Linked DNA regions of Rattus norvegicus. The protein of the gene in region 3 purifies or fractionates together with the protein of the main gene of each other region. This does not show direct contact. Links are inferred from orthologs where the notes say so. Each region holds a gene or a part of one and is shown on either strand. Other genes may lie near its edges. The genes, in order: Stxbp4, Wwc2 and Ptpn14.

What was found.
Region 1: the proteins of Ptpn14 (region 3) and Stxbp4 purify together in Homo sapiens (affinity purification with mass spectrometry; 3 studies listed by BioGRID and IntAct, counting the BioPlex papers as one, with this or other methods). This does not show direct contact. The link is inferred for Rattus norvegicus from reciprocal best matches to the Homo sapiens genes PTPN14 and STXBP4.
Region 2: the proteins of Ptpn14 (region 3) and Wwc2 purify together in Homo sapiens (affinity purification with mass spectrometry, with the first as the bait; 3 studies listed by BioGRID). This does not show direct contact. The link is inferred for Rattus norvegicus from reciprocal best matches to the Homo sapiens genes PTPN14 and WWC2.

What each region holds. Positions count from the first base shown.
Region 1 is NC_086028.1:75,917,670-75,921,290, reverse strand, and holds part of Stxbp4 (syntaxin-binding protein 4), read left to right. Parts: intron 1-763; coding exon 764-870; intron 871-1,031; coding exon 1,032-1,248; intron 1,249-2,201; coding exon 2,202-2,280; intron 2,281-3,621. UniProt on the Homo sapiens protein: Plays a role in the translocation of transport vesicles from the cytoplasm to the plasma membrane. Inhibits the translocation of SLC2A4 from intracellular vesicles to the plasma membrane by STX4A binding and preventing the interaction between STX4A and VAMP2.
Region 2 is NC_086034.1:50,989,716-50,993,946, reverse strand, and holds the start of Wwc2 (protein WWC2), read right to left. Parts: upstream 2,852-4,231; 5' UTR 2,136-2,851; coding exon 2,005-2,135; intron 1-2,004. UniProt on the Homo sapiens protein: Regulator of the Hippo signaling pathway, also known as the Salvador-Warts-Hippo (SWH) pathway.
Region 3 is NC_086031.1:103,798,153-103,802,310, reverse strand, and holds the start of Ptpn14 (tyrosine-protein phosphatase non-receptor type 14), read right to left. Parts: upstream 2,818-4,158; 5' UTR 2,411-2,817; intron 749-2,410; exon of another isoform or gene 595-748; intron 1-594. UniProt on the Homo sapiens protein: Protein tyrosine phosphatase which may play a role in the regulation of lymphangiogenesis, cell-cell adhesion, cell-matrix adhesion, cell migration, cell growth and also regulates TGF-beta gene expression, thereby modulating epithelial-mesenchymal transition.

The DNA.
Region 1 (3,621 bases), on a different chromosome or scaffold from region 3:
GTGTTTGGGAGTTATGCATAGGTCCAGGGCTTAACAAAGACATCCAGTTAAAGTTGGTGATTATCAGCATGGACATATGCACATGACATCTGATACCACATGCACAGCCTAGTTGGCTTGGCCACAGGAAGGGCTAACAAATCTAGTAAAGAGGATACTTGAGTGATAACTAAGATTTGCATAAAACCAATGCAATTAGGTTTCTTAACCTTATTTTTAAAAAGTCAGTGTAGTGTGCATGTTTGGACAGGTCCGTTCATGTTCTGTATGTGAATGTGCGTGCATGTTTGTATGAGTCTGCATGTGTATATGCACATGCATGTGTGTACACGTATCCTGACATCCGAGTTAAACAGTTTGTAGGAGGAAAGAGGCAAATGCTCGTTCACTGGGGTAGACGAGTCTCCTATTCTGAAATATTCTTTATGCAGTGAGTGCTTGGTTTGCTCTATCTGAGTCAGAATCTTATCAGACTCAGAGCTGAGCTTTGAAAACAAGTGCCCTTTTGTGTACAGGCCAGTTTCTTATGGTAGACTGATTCATTAGCATAAGGATTTATTCACTGCATGTATAAACCACACAATTTTCCTTATGTATAATACTTAACTAGCCAGTAATAGAACATTTTGTTATTTGGATTCTCTAATTTTTTTACTCTGTTTATGGCATTATTCACAAGATTATTTGCTTTTCTTAGGTTAATTTTGTTAAAACTACTTTATTATTATTATTTTGTAATTTTCTGTTTGGCTTTTATTTTTAGGATGGACGTTTGAAGCCAGGAGATCAGCTTGTCTCCATAAACAAGGAATCTATGATTGGTGTATCATTTGAAGAAGCAAAAAACATACTTACCAGAGCCAAGTTGAGGTAACAATTCCATCCATATGATAGGATGAGTCATTGAGCACATATATATAAAGGTCGTGATGAGGCTATCTTAAAGGTTTTCACTGTACTAGAAACACTGTCTTTGCATTTACTTGACCGCATTTGTTGAATATCCACAAATTAATCTCTTTAAATCGTAGGTGGGAATCTCCGTTGGAGATAGCATTTATCAGACAGAAGTCTTACTGTGGTCATCCAGGAAACATTTGCTGTCAGTCCCCACCAGTGTCAGAAGACTGTGAACCTCAAACCTCAGCATTTAATCTTCTTTCCTCTCCCGCTGGAACACTACTTCCAAAGACTTCATCCACTCCCAGGACTCAGGACTCCATTTTACCCTCCTGTACAGTAATTCAGGTAACCTTAAATTCTAGTTTATATACTCAGTCCATAAATCTCTTACTTTTTTTGTTGTTGGTTAAATCAATATAGAATTGTAATTTCATTAACAATGCTTATTAATAAGTTAATATCTCCTTGAAATACTTTTCCTTTTTAGGTTTTTATCATGTAAAACAGATTTTTCAAGCTAATGTACCCTTTCTTTAAAAACTTAGAAAACATCAACATATAACAACATGGTACCATAAAGATACTAGACATCATTAATTCCCCAATTTTCTGTTTCTACCTAATAAAAGATAGGCGTGTGTGTGTGTGTGTGTACGCGCATGTGCGTGCGTGTGTGTGTGTGTGTGTGTGTGTGTGTGTGTGTGTGTGTGTGTGTTCAGTCCTTAGTGTCTTCTCTTCATGCTAAGGCTGATCCTGATCATCCTGTCTATGGATAGTGTTCCTCTCACCCTCACATGTGTGTCCTATGAAATTGTTCACCTTACCTATTTGATTCCAAAACATGAGGAATTTATTATATCCAGAGTAATGTATTTGCTTTGAACTGCTACATGGTCGTAATAAATCATAATTCCAAAGTAGAATCTATATTCTTTAAATCTGTGTTAGGAATAAAACACAAGAAGCAAGTAGACTTTCACTCATAGATGAGTTCCTTAAGGTAACGTCTGTTCAAGGTGATGGTGATCAAAAAGACTGTTCTGTGAGCGCTTGGACTGCTTCTTTTAAAGACAAGGGGCATGGCCTTCTGTTCTCTTACCCTTAGACACGATAGACTAAAAGCACTGTTACTTTCCACTCTGAAATGCTTTCTCTGAAGATGAATATAGCGAGTATTAGGAACTTCATATTTTTTGGAATCTTTCTTTGATCTTTTTAACCATTCTATTTATGTTAACATGCGCGTCTAGTTTGTGCTTTGACCTACTTTAGAAAGTGACTTATCATTTCCCTCACAGACTCAACCTGAGCACAGTCAAGCAGGGCTTGCTCCAGTTCCTTCTTTGAACAACCGCCCTACAGACACATCCAATGCAGGTAAATTCCCATTTAATTCCTGCTCTGTTTATCAACTACTCTTTTTCAGTGAGTGATTGAAAATTAGTAATATGACTCAATAGATCTTAAAGATGGCGTAGTGCCTTTCAGTGAATAAAAAAAGCAAAATAAGTGTATTGTTTGATGCTTTCTGTTAAATCTTGACTTTTGCTAGAACTATCTCTGAACAAAGAGTTGCAGTTTTAAAAAGTGCATTATAATAAATGTCTATGAAGCTGTAATTGCTATCGAATTGTTGAACCAAGGAAATCAAGTAACGAAGAGTCAAGATACGAGTTCTTGTCTCTTTACTGAAGTACTGATGGGATATACAACTACAGCTTTGGAAACACAGTACACATAGCACAGAACTAAAGAAAGATATCTGTTCGTTTGCTTTGAAAGCTATCATACGGATATGAATTAAAAAGGACATCCATACCTCCTTTGATATAATTTTTGAATTACTGTAAAATGACTTAGTGATTTTAAAAATAATCAAATCAAAATGACCTAAGCTATACATAGAAAAGGATTTTCATCACTCCATAAAGTTCTTATTGACTCGAATATCGAGAAAAATAATCCTTCCACTGAAATTGTCTCCAAGTTAAAGACAATTTAGAAACTGTATTTACTATAACTAAAAGACTAACTACATATTCTTAATAACGATTTAAATTACAACCCACATATATTAATTTTTAACATTATTAATTTTTCTTAGAATTACAAAATACAGAGAACTGGTTTAGATGAAGTAGCTCCTAATCATGAACAAGTGGTCAGTTCATCAACAGAGCGTATGCTCACCAGGCTGAGGCCCTGTAATCAGTCCCCAGCACCAAAGAAAAAAGAAAAACCAGCATCAGACTTCACAGCAATTTATGCTGTCATCTTCATGTTTCCTCTGCCTGGGAGAAGGATTTTCCAATGGGTTAGAATTTTTTAACCAAAATTATATACCTTTTAATTACTGAGATTTAGTGATTCTTGGAAATAATATTAATTAGTATTCCTTTCACATAATTAACATCCAGTCTCTTGATAGACTGTTTTTATTTTAAATTGGGAGCTCACATGGAAAGACAAAAAAGACAGATGACTAAAGCAGCCAGTCTAAGATGTGGGGTCACAGTTGCTCCATGATGAAAGTCGGGGTCTTTCTTCTTCCACTGTTGTGAGACATTAGTTATATAATGTGTGTAATACATTTTCAATTTTTAAAACAACCAAAGTAAGTACTCCCCATAGCCATTTATTTAGGGTACATTTGCTAAATGTTACCGAGTTAGCAACGAATGTAGCACAGAAGGAAGTTAAGAGAGATTCAGGGACTTT
Region 2 (4,231 bases), on a different chromosome or scaffold from region 3:
ACATCTTATAATCCTCTCCAGTAGACAAATGTGAGGTGATAGGAAGCACGTGAGCCGAGGCAGGGGAATGAATGCTTAGAAAGCCTAAGCTTTTTGGCGGCAGTGAGCCGGAGACTCCGAGTGTCCGCAGAGCTGCCATACAACTGTAAAAGTCAAATATTTATACAGGTGCCCCACAAAACCACCGCCATGTGCGCACCCATCCGCACCGACGTTTGCTGTCCGTTAAGTAGTTTCAAAGTGCAAACGTATAAGTAATAGGCTTGGAGCATGGTGAGGTTTATGACAGCTAATGTGCCTGGAGAGACTATGGAGGTGTGACTCCCGTCAGAACCTTCGTGGAGTCAGCAATGGCCTGTGGGGTGTGCGGAGGTGAGGCCTGGGCACAGGTGTCTTTCCTCAACATGAGGGAAACCTAAACCTTATCTTCATGGATAATTTAACAAGGATTGTTCCATAAATATATATCATTCGGGATTTTCTTATAACTGCTTTTTAATAGCTTTCACATACAATAGTTGTAGGAAATGAGTGCTTGGGGATAGCGAATAGAAAAGTGTGTTTCAAACTAAGAAGAGGGGGTGGGGCTTAACAGGAAAAGCTCCTGAAAAGGCTATGACCTCTCAGACCATGTAGGACTTTTCAGGAATGCTAAAACTGCAAAGGGCAGGGGCATCCCCGACAAGATATTGAATTTACAACGAGGAACAAATCCGGCTCGGTGCCTAGCATCTGTAATTCCTGCATTGAGGAGGCTGAGGCAGGGGGATTGCTGTGAGTTTGGTACCAGCCTGTGTTACATAATGTGTCCCAAGCCAGTTAGCCTGAGCTGACAATACAATACAGTATGAGGCGGTCTAGAAAAAAATAACAAAACAAAACAAAAATACCTCTTTAAGGACAGTTTTCAAATTTACAAGTAAAAAATGCACTCTAGTATTCCTTTATTTTTATTTTTTTTAAATTTTTTTTTGAGACAGGATCTCGAATAACCCAAATTGGCCTTGAACTCCTGATCCGCCTTTCACCTCACAAGTGCTGAGTTTAGCCAGATGTGTGAGACCATACTGCGCCCTCTAACAACTTTAATTCTAAGAAATGTTCCTCCTAAAAGTGAAGAGAAAGTTGAGAAACAGAACACTGGTGAGCATTCCACTAAACTTCAGCTCCTGAACTTCTCAGATGTCTGCCTACTTGCTCAGATCTCCAGGTAAGAACAAAAACGCTTGTCGTGAGACCTGTGCAAAATCAGGCTAAGCTTCAAGTCTGGGCTACCCGTATCTGTAGCCAAGGTTCAGTCCCAGTCTCCATGCCATTTCACAAGAAAATCTGACCCAAGTTTTCAGGTGAGGAACTAAGGTTAGAAGCAAAATTCCAAAACTTTTTTTTTTTAATCTTAGGGGCAAAGCTACAAAGGTCGAGCCAGGATTGGGACCCCACTCTCCACGTACAGGACCTAGGGCATGGTTCGGGGTGCGCCCTAGTAAAAGCTTGCAGTCAATGCTCAGGAGCTAGGTAGGTAGGGCTGGAGAGATGCCACAGGTGGCCCAGATGGCTAGATGTTCACCATCACTTAGGCCTCCGGGAGGCCCTGAGCTCAGCGTGCCTCACAGAGGTCGAAAGGTGCCCTCCCCCTCCATCTGACCAACTTTAAAGAGCACACCGGAGGTCTAAAGAGGGGTCAAGTGCCCCCCACCCTGAGCCGGCTAACTGGACTTAGGGTGCCAATCCAGGGCACCAATCCGGCCCTTCCCTTGGGCCAGGGAGTGTCTACAAGTCCCTGAGGGGCGTGGGGAAGGCAGTGGGCAATGGGGCCCAAGAAGGGGCGCCTGGCGGGCAGACACAGCCGCGCCTAGGCCGGTCCCGCGCCTATCCCGGAGCCCCTCAGAGTTGCAGAACAGGAGACGCCCCACGCCCCCCGCATCTTCCAGGTCTCCCAGACAACAGTCGCCGCAGCACTTCCCGAGGCGGGTCCCCGCACCCGGCCGGGGCCCGGCCGCCCACCTGTCCCGAGGGTCGATCCAGCTGGTCCTCCTGGTGTTGTGGTCGATGTAGAAAACCTTGCCGTCGTAGTCCCTGGCCTCCTCCCAGCCCCGGGGTAGCGGCAGCTGCCCGCTCCCGGCTCTCCTAGGCATGGTCGGCGGCCTCGCCGGCGAGCGGCGCCTCCATAGGGACCCGGCGCGGGGCGCGGCGGGAACGCGAGTGCCGGCAAGGGGCGTGCGGGGCTCGGGGCACAGTGGGCCACGCGCGGAGGAGCCTCAGGAATCCCTGCTCTCAGCCCTGCCGGGGATCAGTCCACCATGTCTGCGTCGGAACAGGCGAGCGAGCCCTCCTCCTCCTTGCCGCCGCTGCCTCCGCCTCTTCCTCCTCCTCCCCGTCCCCCTGTGGCTGCCGAGGGTCGCGGCGCCCAGGCTGCCCCGGCCGACGCCGTCTGGGCTCGGATCCGGGAAGCTCCGCGGAGCAACGGCCCGGCGGCGACTGGCCTCCTCATTTGCGTGCGATTAGCATGCGGCCCGCCCCCGGCCCGCCCCGCGCCCGCCTCATCTGCATGCACATTCCTCGCCGCCACATTCCTGAGCTTAACCCTGCAGCTGCCGGGGCGGCCGCGGCGGGACGCGGGGCTGAACCCGCGCGGGGGAGGGGAGCGGCGAGGCCAGGTGGGAGGCGGGAGGGCGAAGGAATGCTCGGCTCGCTCCCTCCTCTCCAACCCGAGGTGTCTCCTCTCCGCCAGACCCTTTGGGGATTTAGGAGTTTTCTGGACGAGAAAGAAGTCTAAAGAAAAAAGTCTGCAACCTTCCCAACCTCTTTCCGTCTTCTAGGGAAACCACAAGACTTTCGAGAGGAAAGGGTGGGGAATGCTGTCCTGGGAAGAAGTCCCAACAAACAGTAAGGGCACAGAACGCCCCCACCCCCAACCCCCACGCCGCGCCCCGTGCCTTGGCTGTTCCTAGCGGTGGGGAAGTGTGCAAAAGCGCTGGGAGTGTGTCCGGGGCGTGTCCGGGGCCGCAGCGCCCCCCGAGCCTCCCGCTCAGAGTGGCCCTCGGTGACCTCACCAGGGACCTCGCGGGCCTAAGGGAGCAAAGTAAAGGCGGGTCCCTATCCATGAGCGCCGCGACACGTCCGCCCCAATGGCCCACGGGGCAACTCCGGCCTGATCCTTAGAAGCGACAGGGCCACCCCGCCACTGTCGCCGCCACACGCGGGCCCTGGGGGTCCGAATCACTCGCGCCTCCCCGCCGGGGCAGGGCCATGTGCATCTGGCGTCCCCTTCTGGGTTTAAATCCAAGGGACGTGGCTGCGTCCAATATCTAGTCCCTTCCTTCCAACCCTCTGTCCTAGGAAGTTCTTCGCCCGAAGGTGTTAATCACTCCGAAGGGAGCCCAAGGCAGGGGTCAGAGGCCACACTTTGCTTGATCAAGGGTCCATCTATGAGATGTAGATCTTACCTCACAAACATTTATTTATTTAGCTATTAAGTGCTGGTCGGCACTGAGTAGGAGCCGGATGTCAGACACTACAAAGCCTCGGCAGAGTCAAGACACTAAGCTTGCAGTGTCCCTTATCCTCAGTCTGGAAGGGAGCCTTTCTGTCCCCAACCTTTACAGTCTGCTGTGTGTCACCACCCTTGTTAATATTCTTCCAGGCCCCTAAGCAGATTATAGCAGCACCTTAGGAAGAAAGGCCCCATCGTTCAGTCCTTCACCTCTCGGTGTGAATTCCCTTAATCATATGTGCTAATGTAATAACTTCAGGACCTGGCATTGGGCAGGACATTTTCTGTGTCTGGGCACTTGCTGAAGTTGTCAATAGAACTAAACAAGTAAGAACCAAGCCTTGAATCAAGCTTCCAGAAGGGGACTCCACATGCTCTGAAGGGGATGTTAGGAAGAGGAAAGGGACTTATTCTGAATGAAACAGCTTGTGCAGAAGCAGACACTTGAAATCCCCCAGAACTGGAAAGCCGGGTACACCTGGGAAGGACAACCAGAGAGCGGCTGTGGCTCCCGAGGGAAACCTCTCACTTTCTAGGTCTTTCCCATAATGCCAAGGCCTGTGGAAGCTGGGTTTTGTGCTTTGTCCAGGGAAGGTTCCACTTCCTAACCTGTTTTTTGCCTCAGCCCATTAGTAGTAAGATAATCAGTCAGGGTCCTAGTCCTCAGTAGGTAGAGGGGTTCTGTTTAAAATTAACCTGTTACACTACTGAATGTGTAATTCTCTATGTTGGCCCATT
Region 3 (4,158 bases):
TCCGAGGCTCGGGATGGATCTGAAACCCACACAGCACTAGGTAACCAAGCAATGAAAAGTTCAAAAGAAAGAATGTGTCCAAATTCTTTTTCAAGAAACAGACAAGACTGCTGGAACCCAGGTGAGCTCAATTTGCTAGGAAGAGGTCAATATTTGTATCCCTGACGGGCAGGAACATAATTCAGTCAGAAAGCACATGCTGGGGAAATCCTCAGTCCTAGACTTCTGCTCTTCCACAGAGCAAGGGAGAACTCTTCTGAAAACTCTGATTTCCTCTGAATTCTCTGTGCTGTGCCAATATTAAAAGTCTCCCTTAGGCAATTCTCTTTCAACTGACCACGGAACATATGCACACACAAACGTGAATAACTGCGGTGCTGTGAGTTGGCACAAACCAAGGAGGAGATCCCAGAGGAGACCTAGGACCAATCGGTGAGGAGAAGCCACGGCCTCTTGGTACACACTTCCCTCATGCAGGTCCCACACACATTCCAGATCTCCCATCATGGAAATGCTTGCTCTTGAGATCAAAGATGGGCTGGGAGAGAACCTTGAATAAACACACTCAAGTTGCAAGGAGCCACTTCTACGTACCAGCTTAAGACACCTGAAGGCTGGAGATCTGGTGTCTTGGCCAGGAGCAACCACTAGGCATATACACTTCAGCCCAGTGAAGAAGTCCCTCATAGAGGTGACTGGACAACCTCTCCTGCACCAAGGAGCTTTTTCCGGCAGGATGTACTGGACCCTGCGTTACAGGGATGGGAGATTTCAGTTTCCACAGGTTCAGAGAAAGGAAAGAAAACCTCAAGACATTGCGGAAACTACTTTTTTTTTTTTCCGGAGCTGAGGACCGAACCCAGGGCCTTGCGCTACCACTGAGCTAAATCCCCAACCCCTGGAAACTACTTTTTAAAGGCAGTGATTCTGAGACACAGAGCAACATCCTTGAACTGATTCTCCACATGCCAGCCACACATTCCACAGGTAAGGTGGCTGTTAGGTAAGAAAGCTGTTAGGGACCTGGGAAAAGGAAAATCACTTGCCCGGTGAGCAAAAGGCCCTGACCAGGTTCTGTCCCCAGCACCAAAGGGGAAACAAAACCAAACCAATTCTAAGATACAAATGTCAAAAGCTCCCTCAGGACAAGGTTCTGTAGGGAGATGGGGTGGTCCTCACTGGGATACTTTGACAGAACCAAGGATGGGTCAATTAATGACAAACACCTGTCACCCCCCAGAACCGTGTGGGAGACACATCAATAGAGGAAACACGTCCAAAGGGAAAGCTTTTGATCCTTGGAAGCTACTCCTGGTCACGGGAAGTGGGTAAGAGACTTCCGGTTTCGTTTCTGCTGGGGTGGGGGCTAACTATGCCAGCAACAGTGCACCAACCTGCCCATACATGCCCCGCCAGCCACCGGGTCTCTCTCCAAGACTTTCTGCACGCCCCCCTCCGCGCCCCTCACTTTGCCCAAGCTGTTTCCTCCTCTGGAATGCAGTCCCTCAACCACTCCTAAGTTGAGCATCATTCCCTCCCTCGACGAAGGTAACCCCTTTCCTCCACCACCTGGCCTTCACCGACTCTCACAGAACCCCTCTCCTGCAGCACATGTCCCTATCCGCCCACGGGCTGCCTTCGGGGTGCTGCAGACTCTTGTAGTGGGATCTCCTGGCAGAGGATTAGACTCACCACTGAGTTCGTTGAATGAATGAGGGAGGGAATCCATTTCAAGAAATAAACTTGTTTTGGAATCTGACCATCCAGCAGCAGTCTGAACGTAACTCGCCTCCAGTAGGACCCCGTAATAGCTAATCCGTGGACGGACTAAACTCAAAACCGCACAAGCTCCTCAAACCGAAGGAAGAAGGGCAAAGGAAGGGGATAGTGACAGCGCACATCAATTCCTCCAGAAAAGATAGGAAAACCATTCCCAAAGATTCGAAACTAGACGCGGGGTCACGTGGGAAAGGGGCTGCTAACTCTCAGAACCTGCAAAGTTCGAGCTGGAGATCTGGTCTGAGATGCACACAATTTTTCCCTGCGCGCTTGTCGGATCACCCAAGCTGGAGCAAGAGAATCGGGAGTTTGGTATCACCTCTGGGGCATTGGAGAGAGTGCACAAGGACTCCTCACAAACTCAGTGCCCACAGAGGCACAGGGCACGCTTGGGGCGCTGCGCTGTATTCCCCTGCTGGCAAACACAACAGGAGCTATTGGAGACGTTTTGGCTGAACCCCAGAGTCCCAGACCGCGCTCCCTTTCCAGCTCAATCCTGGAGGAGCGAGCGCCGCACACGAAGAGAACCCGGCGGCCGGCCACCTGGCGCCCCCACCGCGCTCTCCGGCGTCCGCGGCAGCAAGCCCAAGTTGGCTCTGCTGGAGTATCTGCTCCCGACTGGCTAGCTTACCTGCTTACATGGCCCGGGAGTGACCCGGGTGCCGCACGTTGACCATCAGCGAGTCTAGGTCCCCACCACTGGCTTCTAGAAGCAGGCAGAGGAGGGGCGCAGGGAGGGTTACGCAGCGGCCGCCGCGCTGGGCGCACCCGGGAGGAGAAAGGGCCAAGAACCTGAGCACCGCCGTCCCGCGCGAGGGGACCGGGGCGATCGGAGAGGTGGGGCGCAGAGAGGGACCGCCAGCAGCCACTTGGCACCAGATGCTCCACGAGGACCTGCCCTATGGACGAGTCGGCTGAGCCGAGGAGCGCAGCTAGCTGGCCGGGCCCGCGGCCGAGGCGCTGGGCAGCGGGGAGAAGTTGTGCAGAACTTGAGCCTCGGGAGAGCCCGAGCGCCAGGAAGCGCGAGCGGCCGGGAGGGCGGAGGAAGGGGCCGGGTGGGAGGGGACGAGCAGGCGCCGCTGGCCGCGCTCCCCCGCCCGGGGCTCGGCTCCGCAGCGCTGGGGGCCGGGAGGCGGGGAGTGCGCGGGGCGCTTGCTGGGCGGGCCAGGAATGCGTCCGGGGAGGGCGCGCGCCAGCCTCGGGAACGCGCGCCCAGCGCTGAAAAGAGGAGCCCGGGCTCCCCCGCTGCGGGCGCACGGTCCCCAGGGACGTCACAGCACTGGAATCCGAGGAATGCCAGGCTGTGGGAGCTCCTTCGGCCGACCGGGCAGAAGTCGTGCACTTTTAATGGGCTAGCTTTGGAGCGTGTTTTCCTTCCAAGGTGGGGGGCTTGGACTGAAGGGACGTGCCTGGAGTGAGATAGACTGAAAGTGGAGAGGGGGAGATGACCCAAGTCAACCCAACTGTGCGACGCTTAGGAGACGGAGGGGAAAGCGGAAAGGAAAGGACGGTCCCTCCAAGATTTCCGTGGGCAGCTAGGGGGTGGGACGCTGGAACTAGAACAGGCCATTTATTTGAGTGAGGTCTCCAAGCAGGATGCCCCCATGCCGCCACCGCCCAGGAGACGCGGGCCAAATTAGGGTGGCCTCCTTGAGCAGACAATCTAGAAGCTCTCCTCGGAATCCTAGGATCTCTGAGTAGTGAGTCTTAGCTCCGGTCCTCCCACCCCGCCCCCACGGCCAACCAGCCTTTGTGTGCTAGGAGTTGGAATATGTGGTTTTCCCGGTTTGTTCCAAGCCACGGAGGGGCCCCACCCCGCCTGGGTAGGCACTAGGAGGGAACTGCGTTAGCACTTTCGGAGGTGGGGTTACTGAGGCGCAGCCGGTGTAATGGAAAAGGCACTCAGCCGGGCTAGGGAACCTGTATTAGGCCCCGCTGAGTTGCTGGCCAAGTGGTTAACTCAGGAAGATCCCAGCCCCCAAGCCCTGATCCTTGGTTTTGGTAGTTGTAAAGTGAACGGGGTTGCCTGTATTTTTAAGGTGCCTTGGCGTCTGTTCTCTTTCGGAAGTCTCAAGACCAGTCCTTTCAAGGACCCCGAAGTCCTTGTCACCCAAGATATCGTTAAATTACTTCACTGTACAGGCAAGGGATACAAAGCTTCCAGGCCTTATCCTATCAAAATGGCACTCTGGCGGCAGAGACAGGAAAATCACAAGTTCTAGGTTGGCCTCGACTACATAGCAAGACCCTACCTCAAAACAAGAATGAAAGGTCTCTTATGCCCACAGAGCAAGTGTGTAATGGCTGGCTTCTAAGCATTCGCCTGTCTGCAGGACGAAGAAGAATTAAAGAGGACCCAGGGGGACAAAGATGGGGAGT